2 linked regions of the Anolis sagrei genome follow. The protein of the gene in region 2 purifies or fractionates together with the protein of the main gene of each other region. This does not show direct contact. Links are inferred from orthologs where the notes say so. Each region holds a gene or a part of one and is shown on either strand. Other genes may lie near its edges.

The links.
Region 1: the proteins of ASPH (region 2) and LRRC59 purify together in Homo sapiens (co-immunoprecipitation; 3 studies listed by BioGRID and IntAct, with this or other methods). This does not show direct contact. The link is inferred for Anolis sagrei from reciprocal best matches to the Homo sapiens genes ASPH and LRRC59.

Annotation. Positions count from the first base shown.
Region 1 is NC_090022.1:115,864,591-115,874,948, reverse strand, and holds the start of LRRC59 (leucine-rich repeat-containing protein 59), read right to left. Parts: upstream 4,333-10,358; 5' UTR 4,271-4,332; intron 4,232-4,270; exon of another isoform or gene 3,943-4,231; intron 3,594-3,942; exon of another isoform or gene 3,529-3,593; intron 3,140-3,528; 5' UTR 3,079-3,139; coding exon 2,974-3,078; intron 1,955-2,973; coding exon 1,895-1,954; intron 1,084-1,894; coding exon 925-1,083; intron 306-924; coding exon 201-305; intron 1-200.
Region 2 is NC_090024.1:47,302,250-47,312,489, forward strand, and holds the start of ASPH (aspartyl/asparaginyl beta-hydroxylase), read left to right. Parts: upstream 1-6,332; 5' UTR 6,333-6,467; coding exon 6,468-6,516; intron 6,517-10,240.

The DNA.
Region 1 (10,358 bases), on a different chromosome or scaffold from region 2:
AGAGCTGGAGCAAATCACATTTAAGCCATATAAAATAGTATTTATAGTAAAATGGAATTCAATTCATGTTGTGAAAGATTGTAGTTTATACTGAGCTTTTACATGTCTAAAAATCCAGAAGAAAAAATATCAACAGCTTCTAATTAATCAGCACAACAAAAGGAAAGGGAGCCAACAAGACAAATAGAAAGATCCCTTACTCTGATGGCAGCTTGCTTACACTGTTTTTCATCCAAGCAATCTCCAGCAACCTTTGCTAGCATAGGATCTAAGGGGTTGTCTTTCAGATCCAGCCACTTCAGATTCTGAAGAAGGAAAATACAGACAAAATTAGCTCAAGTCAGCTCCAAGGATTTTCAGTTTCCCTACTTGGAAGCATTTGACTTGACATTAGAATTCCTAGAAGGCCCATGATGCTGAGTACACATGAGCATTACATAGAGCTACACTGGAGATGTACTCATATTTCCAAAACAATGCCTGCAGTTCATAACAAACTACTGCTTTTGTAATTTAGTCGTTTCAGCCACGCACTTTTAAAATGTCAACATCCATATTACTATTTGGGAGACTTCAACACAAGGGCAAAATGGTAAGTTAGCTGTACTTTTAGTAGGTACAGCTAATGGGATTTTATAAAGGAAGTAGCATTTAAAACAGGTGGGAAAATTCTTGAGCTGCAGGCCATATTTCTGTGGCATACAAAGGGAGAGGGGGTCATTCGGAATCATAGAAAATGTAGGGAAATAAGTACAGTTGAGGAATCAATTTTCTGCACAGTATCTTTTCTGTTAGTGGAAGAAAGGCAATTTTTTTTCAATTTTAGCTCCCTTGCAGTTGAGAAATAAATTTTACTAAAAGAAAATATTCTGCTCCAAACCCATGGTCTTACTTCAGTTAAGAATTAGACATGGAAAGGATTACCTTGAGTTGGGCAAAACTGACTGGCAAAGTTACTAATCGATTGTTCAGCAGATCCAGATGTTGCAAGTTGACCAAGCGACCAAAGTCTGAAGGCAGTTGCTGAAGCTGATTTTTACTTAAATCCAGTTTCACTAGATGGGTCAAACTGCAGAAATCAGACTAAAAAAAGAACAAAACAAAAAGTCCAACCCATTATCTTAACAAAAGTTGATGCAAGCAGCTTTGAACTCTATACATGCCTACCTGAAAGTAAACCCTACTAAAATCAGTAAGAGATGCTTTTCAGATAAGTACAAAGAGCATGGTGCTGTTGAAGAACTAAGCACTAGTAAGATAATAGTAAGATGATGCACATAGCCTTTCTGAAGGAATTTGAGAAATTATGAACATACGTCAACTCATAGTAAACCTGTAAATAGAGAAACAGATCTAAAAACATATAGTAAGAGAAAAGTCATAGCTATAATAATCACATTAATCCTATGGTTCCTTGAGAGAATCTGTGTTCCCTAAATGATTTTTTCCTTACATATCAATAGTGGAAGACTTAGAACCTAAAGCTACCATTCACTGATATATTTATTAATCCAGTTTGAAAGTATCTGTCATTATGGCATATCTTTCTTCTCTGAAATATCAGGTGCATTTCTGTCTCTAATTATGAGTCAGTATTTGATGCTGGTCTTTTAAGGACTGTGGCATTTGAGTAAGGCAGTGCATCTACTCCAAAGTTTTATTCTGAACTTTACATTAGCAATCCGTAGTGCTGATTCTTGTCCCTAAAACCGGCTCAACGTCTTCTATTTGAAGGTTCAGACTAAAACATGGAGTGAAATCTCCATCCTACTGACATGGTAAACACCAGCAATCACTGCCCAGGGAATTATCTCTACCATCATTATTACAGTTACTGCACCTATGATCACATCTACATGAGTCATCGCTACAAAGCAAAAAAGTTGCAACTTACAGGTAATGATGTAAGATTGTTACAAGACAAATCCAAAATAGTTGCCTTTGGAAGTGCTGCCTGCAAAGAAACAAACAAAATTAACAGTGCAATCCTATATATGCCTACTTAAACATTAGTTACCTTGTGTCCTCTGGGGCTTATCCCTTACTACATGTAATTCAGATTGCAAACCAGTGATATCAATCGTATATCATTCATTTCAGTGAAAATAATTCATTTCCTAAAATCTATATATTACAGTCATCCTTCCAGATTTGTAGGCTTAACTGTTGTGGATCTGACCACAGATTTATTTGATAAGTTCTCTCTAGGAATGTCTAGGAGTGTAAAATAAACTTCTGATGGAAGCTAATCATAGAGTCATGCAGAAAGATCTCAAGAGGTATTATTTCAGGTAAAATAATTTCAGGTAAAATAGTTTCCTACTTTCACATGATTCTGAGCTCCTAACGTCTGTAAAAGTTGAGGACCTACTGTATTCTTCAGAATTGTACCTTTCTCAAAACAGAGACAATTTATCATATATTCCAATGTACAAGTTGACCTCATGTTGAGTGCAAGTTTGAGGATGAAAATTATGCATTTTGTATGAGCTGTGAATAACTTGATAGCCATTCCACAGAGAGAAGAAAGCGGCAGTACCATCACAGGGAGCCAGATGCCACTGCCCACTGCTGCCACCATTTCCCAAGGATTCAAAAGGCAAAAAGTGGTGCCAAGGTTAAAAGAGCAGAGAGGGTTGAATACTTCTTTTAGGTTCTCCATGAACAGACTAAACTCTTGTCTCCTGCCACTCTGTGGATAGTTTTTATTTTATAAGCATTAAGGCACAGTACTTACAGGGACCCATGTGTAAGTTGACTTAGGCTTCTGGGGTCAATATTTTGGCTAAAATTTCTAGATTTATACCTTCAGAATGTAATCAATGTATATTTCAAAAACTGGTTCAAGCCTCTCATGAGGAAGGGCCAACTGACTTCCTGCTACATATCATACATAGTTCACAAGCAAATACAATCATATGGCTTTTACATTGTTTGTAGTATTTGATAGCCAAAATGAAAACATATACTAACCAGCTCTTTAACTGGCACTTCATTCAGGTCACACAAACTGAGGTCCAATTCATTGCCCTCTAGTTTGTCCTTTAGGTTCACCCCTTTTCCTCCGGATCTGGACATGGTCTTTAATAAACCAAAACCAGTCTTCCAACTAGCTTGGTGAATGAATATGCTTGAGTTCCTATGGAGAAAAATGATGAATGAACACTTATGAGAAAGCAAGCACCACTAAACGCAGTAGGATTTACTTCCAAAGAGCCACAATGTCCAGGATGAGTCTAGAGCAATGCTTCTTAAACTGTGGGTCACGACCCCAAATTGAGTCCCTTTAGCTCAATATTTGGGTCCCCTAACAGTATATATAAACCTCACTTGCCACGTTTCCAACAGACCTCACAACCCCTGAGGATACCTGCCACAGATGTGGGCAAACATCAGGAGAGAATGCCTCTGGAACATGGCCTGGAACAACCCAAAAAATTCACAGCAACCAGGTGATTCTGGCCATAAAAGCCTTCGACAACACATACTAGTTAAAATGCAGGTTAAAATTAACAAGCTAATAATTACTAGGTAGGCCTGCCAAAAGAGGTGGGTCTTCTGTTTTTGAAATTCTGATCTAGCTGTAGGATCTGTAGGAATGCCCTTGGTGAGTAGGTGGCTTCCTCCTTTGTGGCCACCGTCCTCAAGCACAGCGGCATCCTTTCCCACCACGAAGGGGAGACAAGCAATGGGGGGAAGGAGCAGCGGGTGTACTCAGAAACGCCATTGGGAGCCAATGCAGCCCCGAAAAATCAGCCCAAAAGCTCCTGCCGACATTGGCCTGTCCTGGACTTTTCAAATTCTCGGCCACTCGAACTTGGGCATCTGGGAAGCTGGAAAGGCACCAAGGGGGCGGAGGGGTCGCCAACTGAGAAATCCACAAGCCTTTCCCTGCCAAGGAGGGGAAGCTGCGGCCTCCAGGAGTCACTAGGAGACTCTCACCTCTGGGCAGGTGGCGCGGGTCCCCCAAGCCAACTCCTGCCCCTTTGCAGGAGCCTGACACCCACAAGGCCAGCTGGGACATTTCTTGCTGTCACTGCAGCGCCACGTCAGTTAACTTTGCCCTCGAGGCTGAGTCTACACTTGGGCCCTCCCTCCAGGTGTTTTGGACTTCAACTCCCACAGTTCCTAACAGCCTCAGGCCTCTTCCTTTTCCCCGAGGAAAAGGGGAACTGTGGGAGTTGAAGTCCAAAACACCTGGAGGGCCTAAGTTTGCTCATGCCTGGTGTAGAAGCTCGCCGCTCGCTCTCTCTCTCACACACACACTCACCTCCCTCGCGCCCTGCCAATGCCAGCCACTTCCGCCTCTTCCTCCCCTTCCTCCGCTCCGAGGGGAACAAGAGAGAGGGAAGGAGAGAGCGCCTCCCAGAAATCGAGGAAGGAATCCCGCAGCGCCCCCTGGAGTTGCGAATAGCTCAAGCTCCTTCCACACAGCTGTATAAAATCCACATTGAGCTGGATGGTCTGTCAGTGCGGGGTGGGAGCAGGAGGGCTGGGTCCGGAGGCACCGAACGTTACGGAGAGGCCGCATCGCTCCTTTGGGAGCGCAGTTTGCGCAAGAGAGACTTCGCTCATGTAAGCCAGGCCGGAGACAGAGAACAGAGAAGGGATGGAAGAGTTCTTTCATGGTGAAACCCTTACCCTTACCCTGAACCGGAAGCCTAACCCTAACCCAAACCCTAAACCCTAAACCTTGCCCTTATCCTTACTTTAACCCTAACCCATACTCTAACCGTAATCCCTAATCATATAACCCAAACCCTAAACCTTACCCTAACCCTAAACCATACCCTAACTGTAACCCCTAACCCTTACCCTAGCCATAACCCTAACCCTTAACCTAAACCATACTCAAACCGTAACCCCTTACCCTAACCATAACCCAAATCCAAACCCTAAACCATAACCTAACCATAACCCAAATCCTAAACCTTACTCTAACCTAAACTCTAACACTTACGCTAACCCAAACCCTAAACCTTACCCTAACCCTAAACTATACCCTAACCATAACCCCTAACCCTTACCCTAACCATAACCCTAACCCTTAACCTAAACCATACCCCAACCGTAACCCTTACCCTAACCATAACCAAAACCCAAACACTAAACCTTACCTTAACCTTAACCCTTACCTTAACCCTAAACCAAACCCTAATCCTAATCATAAGCCAAACCCTAAACATTACTCTAACCCTAACTCTTACGCTAACCCAAGCGAACCATACCCTAACCCTAACCCCTTACCCTAACCCAAACCCCTAACCATAACCCTAATCATAACCCTAACCATAACCCAAACCCTAAACCTTATCCTAACCCTAAACCGTACCCTAACCATAACCCTTACCCTAACCCAAACCTAAACCCTAAACCCCTAACCATAACCCTAACCCTAAACCGTACCCTAACCCCTAACCCTTACCCCAACCCTAACCCAAACCTAAACTCCTAACCATAACCATAACCCAAACCCTAAACCTTACCCTAACCCTAAACCGTACCCTAACCATAACCCCTAACCCTTACCCTAACCCAAACCTAAACTCTAAACCCCTAACCATAACCCAAACCCTAAACCTTACCCTAACCCTAAACCGTACCCTAACCATAACCCCTAGCCCTTACCCTAACCCAAACCTAAACCCTAAACCCCTAACCATAACCCTAACCATAACCCTAACCCTTACCCTAACCCTAACCCAAACCTAAACCCCTAACCATAATCCAAACCCTAAACTTTACCCTAACCCTAAACCATACCCTAACCATAACCCCTAACCCTTACCCTAACCCAAACCTAAACCCTAAACCCCTAACCATAACCATAACCCAAACCCTAAACCTTACCCTAACCCTAAACTGTACCCTAACCATAACCCCTAACCCTTACCCTAACCATAACCCTAACCCAAACCTTGCCCTAACCCTTACCCTAAGTGTCTCCTCCTTTCTATCCTTCCTTCACTCTCCCCGCTCTCACTCCAACCTCTCTTCTCCATTAAGCTCGGAGCTTCCAGACCCAGCTATCATACTATCACCCAGCGTGGGCTCACATAATCCAGTTCAACGCAGATATTGTGGATTACACACCTTGATATTCTGAGTTAGATGGCTGTGTGGAAGGGCCCTATGTGTCATCTATACTGGTCCATGGAGAGTTTCCAGGAAATAAATAAATAATTATAGCCAATGGACAAAAACATGGTGCTGGCCTCTGGGGGGCGAAATGGCTTTTCTCCTCACAGTTGCTAGTTTCTCCACAACAGATAGCCCAGGGGCCCATCCACACAGCCATAAAACCCAGAATATCAAGGCAGATAATCCACAGTATCTGCTTTGAACTGGGTTATCGGAGTCCACACAGCCATATAACCCAGAATATCAAGGCAGAAAATCCCACAATATGAGGTATCTGCTTTGAATTGGGTTATCTGAGTCCACAATGCCATATATTCCAGTTCAAAGCAGATAATGGGGGATTTTATACAGCGGTGTGGAAGGGCCCTAAGATAGAGCATCTTAAACTTTGTCCACTGAGACCCCATCAACACTGCCATATAACCAGGGCCCTTCCACACAGCCCTATATCCCAGAATATCAAGGCAGAAAATCCCACAATATCTGCTTTGAGCTACATTATCTGAGTCCACACTCAGACAATGTGGGGTTTTCTGCCTTGATATTCCGTGTGGAAGGACCCCCAGTTACTGAATCCAGATTATCATCTTTGAACTGGATTATTTGATAGTGTAGACTCCTATAATCCAGTTCCGATCAGATAATCAGGATTCAGAAACTGGGTTATACAGCAGTGTAGATCCAGCTACACAACCCCTTTCGGCCCAATACAATTTTTACATGATCTCAGCTATGTAAGGAATAGGTGTAAAATAAAGTATTTCATTATAAATTGGGATTTGCAAAGCTTGCTTAACAAGCCAATTTCCCCTTTTCATGAAACTCAAGACTCACCTGCAAAGTCCACTGTAAACACTGTGCTGTAGATTTCTGTAAATGTCTAAAACCGCCACTAGGTGACATTCAGAAACCTTTTACTGTTGGACCATCCTCCAAAAAATCGGGTGTCCTAACAAATTTGTGAACATCCTGCGGCTCCTCCATGACGACATGATGGCAACAGTCTCGGACAGCCATGGCTCCCAAAGTGACCCATTTAAGATGGAATCAGGTGTCAAACAGGGATGTGTTATTGTCCCAACTTTATTTTCCATCTTCATCGCTATGATACTTCACCTTGTTGATGGGAAGCTTACCACAAGAGTGGAAATCATCTATCAGACAGATGGCAAGATTCAGCAGACTGAAAGCCAAAATCAAGGTTACAATGACATCTATTATAGAACTCCAGTATGCTGATGACAACATCATCTGTGCGCATTCAGAAGAAAATCTACAAGCCACTCTAAACACCTTCGCAGAAGCATACAAGAAGCTTGGCCTGTCATTAAACATTGAGAAAACCAAAGTGCTCTTCCAGCAGTCACCAGGCAATCCCTCTGCAATGCCAGAAATACAGCTTAATGGTGTAACATTAGAAAATGTTGACCATTTCCGCAAGCTTGGCAGCCACCTCTCCACAAAAGTCAACATTGACACCGAAATACAACACCGTCTGAGCTCTGCAAGTGCAGCATTTTTCCGAATGAAGCAGAGAGTGTTTGAGGGATACCAAGGTGCTTGCTTATAAAGCTATTGTCCTCCCAACCCTGCTATATGCCTGTGAAACGTGGACTGTCTACAGACGTCACATGCAACTCCTGGAACGATTCCATCAGCGCTGCCCCTGGAAAATCCTGCAAATCTCTTGGGAAGACAAGCGGACAAATGTCAGCATGCTGGAAGAAGCAAAGACCATCAGCATTGAAGCAATGGTCCTCTGCTATCAACTCCGCTGGACTGGCCACGTTGTCCAGATGCCCGACCACCGTTTCCCAAAGCAGTTGCTCTACTCTGAAATTAAGAACGGAAAACGGAATGTTGGAGGGCAGGAAAAGAGATTTAAAGATGGGCTCTGGCATAGGCACTAAGAATTGGGAAACCCTGGCCCTTGAGTACTCCAGTTGGAGATCAGCTGTGACCAGCAGTGCTGTATAATTTGAAGAGGCATGAATGGAGGATGAAAGAGAGAAACATGCCAAGAGGAAGGCTCGTCAAGCCAACCCCGACCGGGACCGCCTTCCACCTGGAATCCGATGCCCTCACTGTGGGAGAAGATGCAGGTCAAGAATAGGGCTCCACAGTCACCTACGGACCCACCGCTAGGACACCAACCTTGGAGGACCATCATCCTCGGACTATGAGGGATTGCCTAAGTACAGTTGCCAAATTTTCGTGACCCCAACACTGAGCAAAGGGGACCCCATTTAAGGTTGGGACCCACCTTGTAAGAAGCAGTACTGTGGGCTGCATTTCAGATTAATTCATTAGGCTGCTGTACTATACATTTTAGTTGAGTTATGGGGCTAAAGTAGTTTGTGATAAGAGATTATAACAGAAGCTTGGCTCAATTATAGGGTCTCTGGAGATATTTTGCTATTACAAAATGGCAATACACATTTTAGATCTTGATGCGTATTTTGAATTGTGCCTATAACCACACCAGTAGTCAGTGGAGCTGTTGTAAAAAGATAGCTGCTGAAATGTTAGGGTGACACTTAACCTATATGACGTCAATATATCAGACATGAAGCCAAATTCAGTTTGGTAATCACAAGGGTGGAGATTATCAGACATCAAATGAGATTCAGATTTACAATCACAGGGGTGAAGAAAGCTGTGTTTATGGCCTGCTCACAGCCTGTTGGGGCTTGTTTTGCAGCCCCTGAAGACCCCAATGTATAGCCTGAGGAGTTTAACCTTAGGAGTCCCCTAGGAGTTCCCCTGTGACACCTCTCAGAATATAAATGCATAAAAGTTCTAGTTGTAAAAGTGACAATTGCCTCTATATAACAATGCAGGGCAAAGTGAGCAAACTGTGGCTGAAAATTGGACCTCAGAAGCATGATGTCTGCGTGATTAGCATGTATCTTGCCAAATTATTTTTAAACTAGCCATCCCCTGCCACGCATTGCTGTGGCCCAGTCTGGTGATCTGGAAAATAAAGTAATGAGCAAGTGTTGGTTTTTAATATATGTAATTTCTTGATGTTTGTGGGTAAACAATATTTCTTGCTGTTTCTTTGTCAGTGTTGACGTGGAAATTGTCTGGTTTGCCTACTCTGGAACATGCTAGGATATAATTGTCCTTTTTTAGGGGTCCCTTTCAAATCTATGATACTATATCTCAATGTGTGTGTGAATCATATATATCTAATCTATATCTGTGGCTGGATGGCTCTTTGTCAGGAGGGCTTTGATTACATTGTCTTGCCCTGGCGAAGGGAGCTGGACTGGATGGCCTTAAGTATTTTCTTTTGCTCATGGGGTTCTGTGTGGAAGTTTGCCCCAATGCTGTCGTTGGTGGGTTCAGAATGCTCTTTGATTGTAGGTGACCTATAAATCCCAGTAACTACAACTCCCAAATATCAAGGTCTATTTCCCCCAAACTCCATCTGTGTTCATATTTGGGCATATGGAATATTTGTTCCAAGTTTGGTCCAGATCCATCATTGTTTGAGTCCACAGTGCTCTCTGGATGTAGGTGAACTACAACTCCCAAACTCAAAGTCAATGCTCACCAAACCCTTCTAGTTTTTTTCTGTTGGTCATGGGAGTCCTGTGTGCTACACTTGATTGATTCCATCATTGGTAAAGTTCAGAATGCCCTTTGATTGTAGGTTAACTATAAATCCCAGCAACTACAACTCTCAAATGACAAAAAAAAAAATTGAGTGATGGTCATTCCTTGGGTTAGTAGGTGTCTTGTGGCCAAATTTGGCAGCAATTAGTCCAGTGGTTTTTCAGTTCTGTTAATCCCACAAACGAACATTATATTTTTATTTATATAGATTGCCACCACTGTGAATTTCCACTTAACATAACTGAGCAAGTCTTTTAGTCCCGGATCCTCTTTTAGTTTAAGTAATAAAGGAAATTCTGAGTAATGTAACAATTCAGATCTGGGCAACTGAGGTCAAGTAGTAGGGCATTTTAAAAAGAATTGTTACTGGGTGTCCATTCTCCCATTCAAAGGTTCATGACTAGAAAACTGTCCACTCCATAAAATCCTGATCTTCAGATTGCATTGATTTTTTAAAAACCAATATGGGGATGTAAATACGTGTACACACATCAAGATTTTAACATTTTTATTGTCCTACTCACCAGATTAAAAGGTAAAGGTTTTCCCTGACATTAAGTCTAGTCAAGTCTGATTCTGGGGGATGGTGCTCATCT
Region 2 (10,240 bases):
GTTGGAGTTCAGCCTGTGACTGTGTTTAATGATCAGGGTACTCTGGATGTTGGGAATGACAATGACAATGCTGTTTCTAATTATGAGGGTGCTTTAGAGAATGACAATGAGATTCCTGTTCAAAGTGTCTTTGCTGATGAGAATGTTCCTGAAGAGTTGGGGGATGATGGGATGGTTTCTGGAAGAGGGCCTGAATTGCTACCAGAAAATTCCCAGGCCTTTGAGCCTGAGAAAAGCTTGGCACCTGGCCCCGCTGCAGAAATTAATGAGCCAGAAGATAGAAGGCATGTTTTCAGAAAGAATAGAATAGTTCAACAATCTCTTTGGCACTCTGCCAGGTTGAGAGAAAAATTGATAACAGAGTCTAGGCTGAATAGAAACAAGTTTCTATTGGGGATTTAGAGTAGATTAGGAGATAAAAGTGCCAAGTACAGAATCTGAGATCCGCCAAAGCAATGTTGGAACTGGATCTAGACGTAGTGGTGAACATTGCAGTGTTACCTTGGAAAGAGTCAAGTTATACCTTGTTTGATTTCATGATTTGGAGTTTTACCTTGGAAGTTTCTGTGTGGATTTTCATGTACTTTAATGGATTTATTTACTGGATTATTTGTTCCTGTTTATCTTTCTACCTACTTGGATTTACCTATTTCTTTGGAGTGTTTTTATTGCTAATGTTTTTTAAAAAAAATTACCTACAATAAACTGCTTGCATTTTCCCTCAGCCGTGTGGTGTTTTTAAGTCAGAGGGCTTCTTCCTGGCCTGGAGTGCAACAGTGAGAATCATTCAGCAATTATATGGAAATGGTGGATCACCTCCTTTTGTCCCAAAGTAAATTCAAGGGGGGAGATGGTGTGTCAATCAGTACCCATTAGATTCATTTTATAATTTGGCAATATGATAGTAGCTAAAGTAAAATCAGGAGAGGATAATTCACAGATTTATATTACTAAATGGAACTGGCCACAATTCAATGTGTAACATTAAAATGTACTGTTCCATTTTCTGGGCGGACTCCAAAAGGAGGCTTAGACAGAGAAGGATAGTCCATTTTAAGGGGAGTTGAAGATGGAAAACCATTTCACCCATTTTCACAGGTTATTCCTGTTGAGTTTGCTATGAATCCTAGTTAAGCTTTACATTGAAATATGAATAATAAACGTGTAATTGGAGGAGAAAAATTAATGCTTATCAAAGTGAACTGCTATTTATATGTGTAGATTTATCAAAGTTAATAATCTATATAAATAAAAATATAATGTTCATTTGTGAGATTAACATAACTCAAAAAACACTGAGCAAATTGAAACCAAATTTGGACACAATACACTTATCAGGCCAACAAGTGACCATCACTCATAAAAACACTGAAAAACGCAATGGAAGAGACTTAAAAAGCCCAAAAATAAAAAATACATTACAGTCTTCAAACTCTATGATTCTATGAAATATTTCTTTCCTTCCAAAAAGACAAAGTTACGCTGTACAGCCCCAAGCTGAATCAAAGTGCTAAAGTGGGATCTGAAACAAGCCTGGCCTTGAGTGCACACATCTACAACAAATCATATTGGGCAATCTGCTTAAATTTGGTGTGCCTTGACAAGCATGATATACAGATTAAACAGATGAATTGCTTTTATAGGTCATGTAGCAACCTCAGTAAACAAGGCTACACACCTCTCATTGTTGGTGGGAAAGCTTTAGAGCATGTAATGATTGCAATCTTAATCAACTACAATCTTAATGACTCACAAACACTATCTAGGACTACTACTGCTATGTATGCAATCAATTCATGAACCTACTTACATAATATTGTTCATATAATTCAATGATAGAGTTTAATTAAAGAAGAGTTAGGATAGTGGAAATAGTTGAATTAGGGGGCATCTACACTGCAGAATTAATGCGGTTTAACACCACTTTGCCATAACCTGATGCTGTAAAATCATGGGAATTGTAGAGGCAGAGGAGCCTCCAGACCTTGTAAAACTACAGCTCCCATGATTTCATAGCATCAATCCATGGCAGTTAAGATGACATCAAACTCTGTCCTTTATTTACAGAAGGTAACACTCATTTTAAACCTGACAACATAATCCTTTTTCTTTCTCACAAAAGGAAGTATTTCTCAACTGTTTCCACTATCCTAACCCTTCTTTAAAAAGATGGCATATATTTATTTCTTTATTATATTTCTTTGGTGCCAATCCTCAGATGACCTCAAGATGCCTTAGATGTTTGTGAGCTATCTCAGGTTGAGGCACAGTGGCTGGCCCAAGGCCACCCAGTGAGCGTCATGCTTCAGTGAAAAACAGTTGGTGCTCCATGGTACCGATTGGTTTGAAAAGCCATTACTCTATTATCCGTCTGTTAAAAAAGCAGGGTGGGGTAATTTGATCTGGAAAGACACTCAGTTTAACAAACATGGCTGTAATCTTCTGCAAACTGAAGAGTAATCACCATTGAGTTTAGTCAGACTTGCCTCTGAGAAGAAACGGTTAGGTTCAAAGTACAAGGATTTAGGAATAACAGATAATATTGTTCCCATCTTGCTCATCAAGTTGCAACATTTGTGAGACAACTTTTATAGAGTTAGCACTGTTAGGGATTTTGCAGAAAATGTGAGAAGAAAGAAATAAGGTGTCTTATTTTACAACTTAATAGATATTGTCGATATTTATGGTTATGTATTTCCATATCATCTCAGACTCTTGTGTGGACGATGCCTTTAATATGTCTGTCGACTTATGGTGGCCCATTAATTTTATAAGGTTTTCTTAAGCCTGGAATTCTCACAGATGGGTTTGCCTTTGAGTATTTTCTCTGAAAGACGGCCTTATTTGATATCAGTCTCCCATCCAAGTACGAACCAGGGCTGACTCTACTTAGCCTCCTATATCAAAGCGGCTCTGGAGCCTTTAGCAAAGATTTACATTCCTCACATAGAGGCACAGGACTCACATCAAAGTGAATAAACCCCTATGAATAAATAAATGGCTAATTGTCTCACCTCTGAGAATTCTATATCTAGGAGAACTCTATGATTAACTTCTGCTGGAAGCCAAACATACATACACATTGGAGGTTGTAGAAAGTCTTAAGAGTGCATCTGTATTGTAGCTTTGATGCAGTTTGATATTATGTTAACTTCTGTGGCCCAATGCCATGGCATCATGGGTGTTGCTGTTTGCCAAGACACTGCCACTTTTTGGCAGAAGGCTGTGATTCCTATGATCCTATCACACTGAGCCATGGTAGTTAGTTATGTCAAACAACATTAATTCTATGATGTAGGTGCATCCCTAAAGATAGGTCCTCCAGGATTTTGAGATTCCTAGAGAGTACATTTTAAATCAAATCTCTGAATCTACAAAAAGACACAATGATGGCTGTAGAAGAAGCAGATTGGGTATTTTGCTTTTTTAAAATTTTGGAAATAATTTTATTAAATATAAAATTCCAAAACACTTAAAACATGATACAATTTGTTGTTGAAGGCCTTCATGACCAGAATTACTGGACAAACCTCTGAGGATTCTTGCCACAGATGCAGATGAAACATCAGGAGAGAATGCTACTGGAACATGGCCATACAGCCTGAAAAACTCACAACAACCCATGATACAATTGTCTTATCACATCTTCTATTTCCAGATCGATAACCTCCAACCTCCCATTACTTATATCATTATAAAAATACATCACTGTCAATTCTATTACTTCTACATTACTCTAATTGTATCTGTTAAATATAATTATTGTAATTTGGTCATTAATTGCTCAAGCACAATCTTTTTTGGATGTTTGGTGGTTTAAATTCACAATTCATTTTATGAATTAAGCTAATAAATTGATCTATTGCACATATCTTGTTTAAGCAGTTCTTTATTGTCAGATTCTCTAACCTTTTCCAGGTTTTCACTATTTTCGAGTCTTGTGGCACATAACAGAAGCAGTATAAGATTTTTATTTATCAGATCCTTATTCTCACTTTCAAATGCAGAAATCATTAATGGAGCTCCCCTGAAGTGTATTGTTTTCCCCACCATTCGCTCAAAAAGGTAAAGGTTTCCCCTTGACATTAAGTCTAGTCGTGCCCGACTCTGGGGGGTGATGCTCACCTCCATTTTTAAGCCGAACAGCTGACATTGCTGACATCCGTAGACACCTCCTAGGTCATGTGGCCAGCATGACTGCATGGAGTGTCATTACCTTCCTGCTGAAGCGGTACCTATTGATCTACTCACATTTGAATGTTTTCAAACTGCTAGGTTGGCAGAAGCTGAACTGCTAAACTTGTTGACCGAAAGGTCACGGGTTTAAATTCGGGGAACGGCATGCGCTTCCACTGTCAACCCTAGCTTCTGCCAACCTAGCAGTTCAAAAACATGCAAATGTGAGTAGATCAAAAGGACAATGACGACTAGAATTGATAGGATTTGACAATGTGGAATGAATTTACAGACGCTGAGCTGGCGAACGTTGAGTATTAGATTGGTTTTATTGATTATGATGTATAATTGATTGTTTTAATTGTTTATAATTGCTGTTTATATGTTTTATCTTATTGTTTGCCTCTTGTAAGCCACCCTGAGTCCCCCCTTGGGGGTTGAGAAGGGCGGGGTAGAAATGCGCAAAATAAAATAAATAAATAAATAGGTACTACTTCAGCAGGAAGGTAACAGTGCTCCATGCAGTCATGACAGCCACATGACCTTGGAGGTGTCTATGGACAATGCTGGCTCTTAGGCTTAGAAATAGAAATAAGCGCCACTCTCCAGAGTTGGACACGACTGGACTTAATGTTAAGGGTAAACCTTTACCTTTTATACTGTATACATATAATATTGATCATAATATTATAATGTAAGACAATACGAATAATACAATATAATATATAATATTGTAATATAGCAATGCTAATATATTAGATATAATTACTACTGATGATTTGTAATAATATATGATATACTGATTTATTATTGATAAATTAAATCTGCCCCCTCCCTCCTGACCTTTAGGAAGCTAGGGAAAACCTGGCTGTGAAACGAGCCCTTTGCAGAATGATGGGTGAGACTGATAATCGGCCAAAGTATTGACTACAATACATGGACTGAATATACGGACTGAGTTAGACATGTTTTTATCTTGGCGAATGGCTTTTGGGTATTTAGTTTATATGTATTATTAATTTACTGTTATTATATGTTGTTTTAGATTTTTACTGTTTAGCATTGAATTCTTGCTGTTAGCCGGTCTGAGTCCCTCTACGGAGGTAGAGAAGATCGGGACATAAAAGTTTTAAATAAATAAATAAATAAATATTGTATATTTGAAGTTGTAATATTTTTGATTGTGAACCATTTTGAGTCTCCGTATGGGAGAGATAAAGTGGGATATAAATAAATAAATAAGAGGGCTATATGGGTTTGTCTTCACTGTAGAATTAATGCAGTTTGACGCCACTTTATTTATTCAATGCCATCAGTATCAAAACAATATAAAATAGCAATATAAAATCCATTACATAACAATTAAACAGTGATATTAATTAAAATTACATAACCACATAGAACAAATCACATAATCACAGGTCATAAAGCCATTTCCAATTTTCAAACAATCCTATTGTCCGAGTTCAGTGCCTAAAGTGCTGTTGTGCCCACTAGCCAAAGGCCTGGCTCCAAAACCACGTATTTAGTTTTTTTTCCTAAAAGTAAGGAGGGAGGATGCTGATCTAATCTTGCTGGGGAGCGAATTCCATAAGCGGGGGGTCACCACTGAGAAGACCCTGTCCTTTTAACTGCTCAATGCTGTGGAATCATGGGAATTGATGTTTTACAAGAGTGCTGGTGCTTCAAACTACAACTCCCAGGATTCCATAGTACTGAGCCATAGCAATTTAAAGTGGTGTCAAAGTGCAACGAATGTACAAATGCACCCAATGACTCTCAAGAAAGGAGGCTGCACTGCCTTTGCCTGAATGTTAAGTCTGGGAGGGTAGTGGGCCTCCTTTTCCATCCTTCTCCATCCGAGGAGAGAAAGAGGAAAGGCGGGGATTATATAGGATTTATGTTATTTCAACAGAAGAGCAGCCATGAGCAAACTCTTTCAAACACGTGTCCCACGTCACACATTATCCCTCTCCCTCCCCTCCCCTCCTTCAACTCTGCCACGTTCCAACCCACTCCTCAAACAGCCACAACTTTGGAAGGCGTTCCTCCCCGCCCCCTTTTTTATTGGCCAATCGGAGTCTCCTATTTTCCCCTCCTCGTTGCCGATTGGTCGGCTAAGACGTGCCAGTCCCAGGGCCGTGAGCGCGCCCGTTCGGGTCGCTTAAAGGGGCGGAGCGACGCCGTTCGCCCTCGTGTCAGCCCCGCCCCTTCGGCGTCGCGAGCGCGCCTCTCTTTCTCTCTCTTTCTCGGTACCTGACAGGAGAGGCGGCGGCGACGACGAGGACGAGATGGCCCCGCGCAAGAGCCCCAAGAGCGGCAGTCCCGGCCCCAGGAGAGGTCAGTTGCACTACGCGAGGCCGCGGCCTAGTGGGCCTGCAGCCCGCAGGTGGTGGGAAGGGAGAGCCGCGCGGATAACGGCTCTCTGAGGCGGGAAGCCGGAGGGACCCCACTCTTCTTCTCCTATCAATATCCAATGAGGCCTTCCCGAGTCTTCGCCATCTCCACCCTCCTCCTTTTTCGAAATTGCCGCTTTGGAGGCCCCTCCCTATCCTCCAAGCTATGGAAGCTTGGGAGCTATAGTTCCAGAAGGTATTTTACCTTCCTCTGCCCAAAGAGTGATGGTGCCACACCGAACTACACATCCCAGCATCCCATAGCAGTACGTCCAGGCAGATAAAAGTGTCAAAACCAATTATTTCTACAGTTTAATGGGTAATGACTGGAACATTACTATGCAAAGGCATACAGTACCTTCTGAGAGAATGAGGGTGCAGAATTTATGCCTTTTGATGCTGCTTTAAGTGCCACGGTTCAGTGCTGTGGAATCCTGGGAGTTGTAGTTTCATAAGGCATCAGTCCTCTGCAAGAGAAGACTTCGGGTGCATCTACACCGAGCATAAGCAAACTTCGGCCCTGCAAGTGTTTTGGATTTCAACTTCCACAACAACGGATTTATTTATTTTATTTACATCATTTCTACCCCGCCCTTCTCACCCCCAAGGGGGGGACTCAGGGCGGCTTACATGCGCAACAATTCAATGCCATAATATCAGTACAACAACATAAAATCAAATACTTAGAAAATTAACAATAACATTAATTAAAATCACATACTCCTATACTAACATAGTCACCTAATCAAAATCACATATCCGTTTCCAACTGTCCAATTGGGATTGCCTCAGGCAGCAACCAGCCAGGCTTTGAAGCTTCAAGGCCATTAATTGCTAATCAAGATGGGCAATTGCAACATTGTATTGTCGAAGGCTTTCATGGCTGGAATCACTGGGTTGTTGTAGGTTTTTTCAGGCTATATGGCCATGTTCTAGAGCAGGGGTCCTCAAACTTAAGGTCCAGGGGCCGGATGCGGCCCTCCAAGGTCATTTACCCGGGAAGGCCCTTGTTCAGGGTCAACCTAAGTTTGAAATGACTTGAACGCACACAACAACAACAAGAATCCTATCTCATCAGCCCAAAGCAGGCCCACACTTAATAATAATAATAATAGCAATAACACTTTATTTGTACCCTGCTACCATCTCCCCAAAGGACTTGGTGCGGCTTACATGAGGTCGAGCCCACAACACAGCAATAACAAAGCAAAAACAACAACAATACAAGCAGTAGATAAAACTCATAACAGCAAATAAACAATAAACATTAACAATAGCATCACTTCCCATTGAAATACTACATTTTATATTTGTTGAAATTGCTCTTCATTTTAATTATTGTATTGTTTTAAGTGTTTTTGCACTACAAATAAGATAGGTGCAGTGTGCATAGGAATTCATTCATGTTGTTTTCAAATCATAATCCAGCCCCCCAACAGTTTAAGGGACTGTGACCTGGTCCTCTGTTTAAAAAGTTTGAGGACCCCTGTTCTAGAGGCATTCTCTCCTGATGTTTTGCCTGCATCTGTGGCAAGCATCCTCAGAGGTTGTGAGGTCTGTTAGAACTAGATATATAAACCCAATTTTTCCTAGTTCCAACAGACCTCACAACCTCTGAGGATGCTTGCTATAGATGCAGGCGAAACGTCAGGAGAGAATGCCTCTAGAACATGGCCATATAGCCTGAAAAAACCTACAACAACTCAGTTGCAACATTCACACTTGCCTCAAGGAGACAAGCATTCTTTCTCCCACCCTTGACATTCCACAGATATCTAAACCTCATTTGTTTAGTTTCCAACAAACCCCTCAACCTCTGCCATAGATGTGGTCGAAACGTCAGGAGACAATGCTTGTGGAACACGGCCAACCATACAGTCCGGAAAACTCCCGGCAACCCAGCTGGTAGGCTGTTAGGAATTGTGGGAATTGAAGTCTAAAACACCTGGAGGGTCGAAGTTTGTCCATGCCTGATCAACACTGTAGAATGAATGCAGTTTGGGACCACTTTCACCACCTTGGCTCAATGATAGGGAATCATGAGAGTTGTAGTTTTACAAGGTCTGTAGCCTTTGTTTTGAAATGGTGACTGAGATCTTATTCTACCAGTGTTTACAATAAAAACATTAACAAAAAAACCCACTACTAGCCTAAAATGAAAGTACAAATGAATACACAAAATTTGTAATGTTAAAAGTTCATTAAATGAATATTGAATACATAAAAAAAACACAATGAGGATTTATTGTAAAACGTTTCTGAAATTAAAAGACATAGGTGGTTCAAAATAAAAGGTTTGTAGCCTTCTCTGCCACAAAATGCTGGAGGCTCACTAAACTACAAATCCCAAGACATCATGGCTATTGCATACCTGGATTTGTAGTTTAGTGTGGCTTCAGTTAAAGTTGTAACCAAAGGCTTTCATGCCCACAATGCAATGCACTCACAGATTCTCCTGCCCTTTGTACTGCCTGCCTTCTGTATCCATGGATTTCATAATCACGGATACAGCCATTCACAACTTGAGTACAGTCAGAAAAATCCAAAAAGCAAACCTTGATTTTATCATTTTATATAAGGGATGCAATTTTGCTACACATTGTTTATAGTGGGACTTCTGCACCCATGGCTTCTAGTATCCACAAGGAACCTAGAATCAAATTTTAGTGAATACCAATGGTTTATTATAATTATTTTGGGGGAAGGGGGGGCTCTGAGCTCCTTCATAAAACACACATCAAGGTCGTAGCTCCCCTTCTTTAATACAATGGAAAGAAGGAGGGAGGGTGTCCATGGCATTTGAGATGGAAAAGAATGGGAGTTAAAACTGAAACAAATTCTACAGTTTGACACCACTTTTACTGTCATTATACTATGGAATGCTGGGATTTGGAGCTTGGTGAGACACATCTACTCCTTGGCAGAGAAGGCTAAAGACTTTGCGAAACTACAACTCCCAGCATTCCCTAGCATAAAGCTGTAGCAGTTCAAGTGGTGCCAAACTGCATGAATTCTGTAGAATGCACCATGGGTGTGTAGGTTCATTTAATTGTGAGAAATGGGTGACACATATAACACTTCAAACTGTTAAAAGAGAAGCAAAAAAATAAAAAAGACAAATAGGATCGCAATGCTGACTATTCAGCAATGTGTGTTTAGGAACAAAGGGCACTGCTGTAACAATAAAGGCAGAGAGACAGGAGATGACCACAAATAAGGTTGAACAAGTAAATTTCTTCCATATGATTGAAGAAATCAAAGTGAAATCCTGGGGAATGTAGTTCAGTGAGGTGCCAGTGTTCTTTGGAAGAGACTGTTAAAGGCCTTGTAAAACTACACCTTTCATGATTCTATATTACCGACCCATGGTAGTTAAGTGATGCCAGAACTGCATCAATTCTACAGTGTAGATGCACACAGAGAGTCACTTGCACTTGTTTGTATGACCTGTCTTCCATATACACAGAATCAACCATCCACAACTTAAAATATTCCAAAAATAAATCCCCCCTTGATTTTGCCATTTTATATAAGGGACACTATTTTGCAACATAATGGGACTTAAGTATCCACAGGGTCCTGGAACCAATTCTCAGAGGATATCAAGGGATCACTGCAATTTTTTGTTTGGGGGGTGGGGTCTCTGACCTCTTCCTTGAATGTGTGTG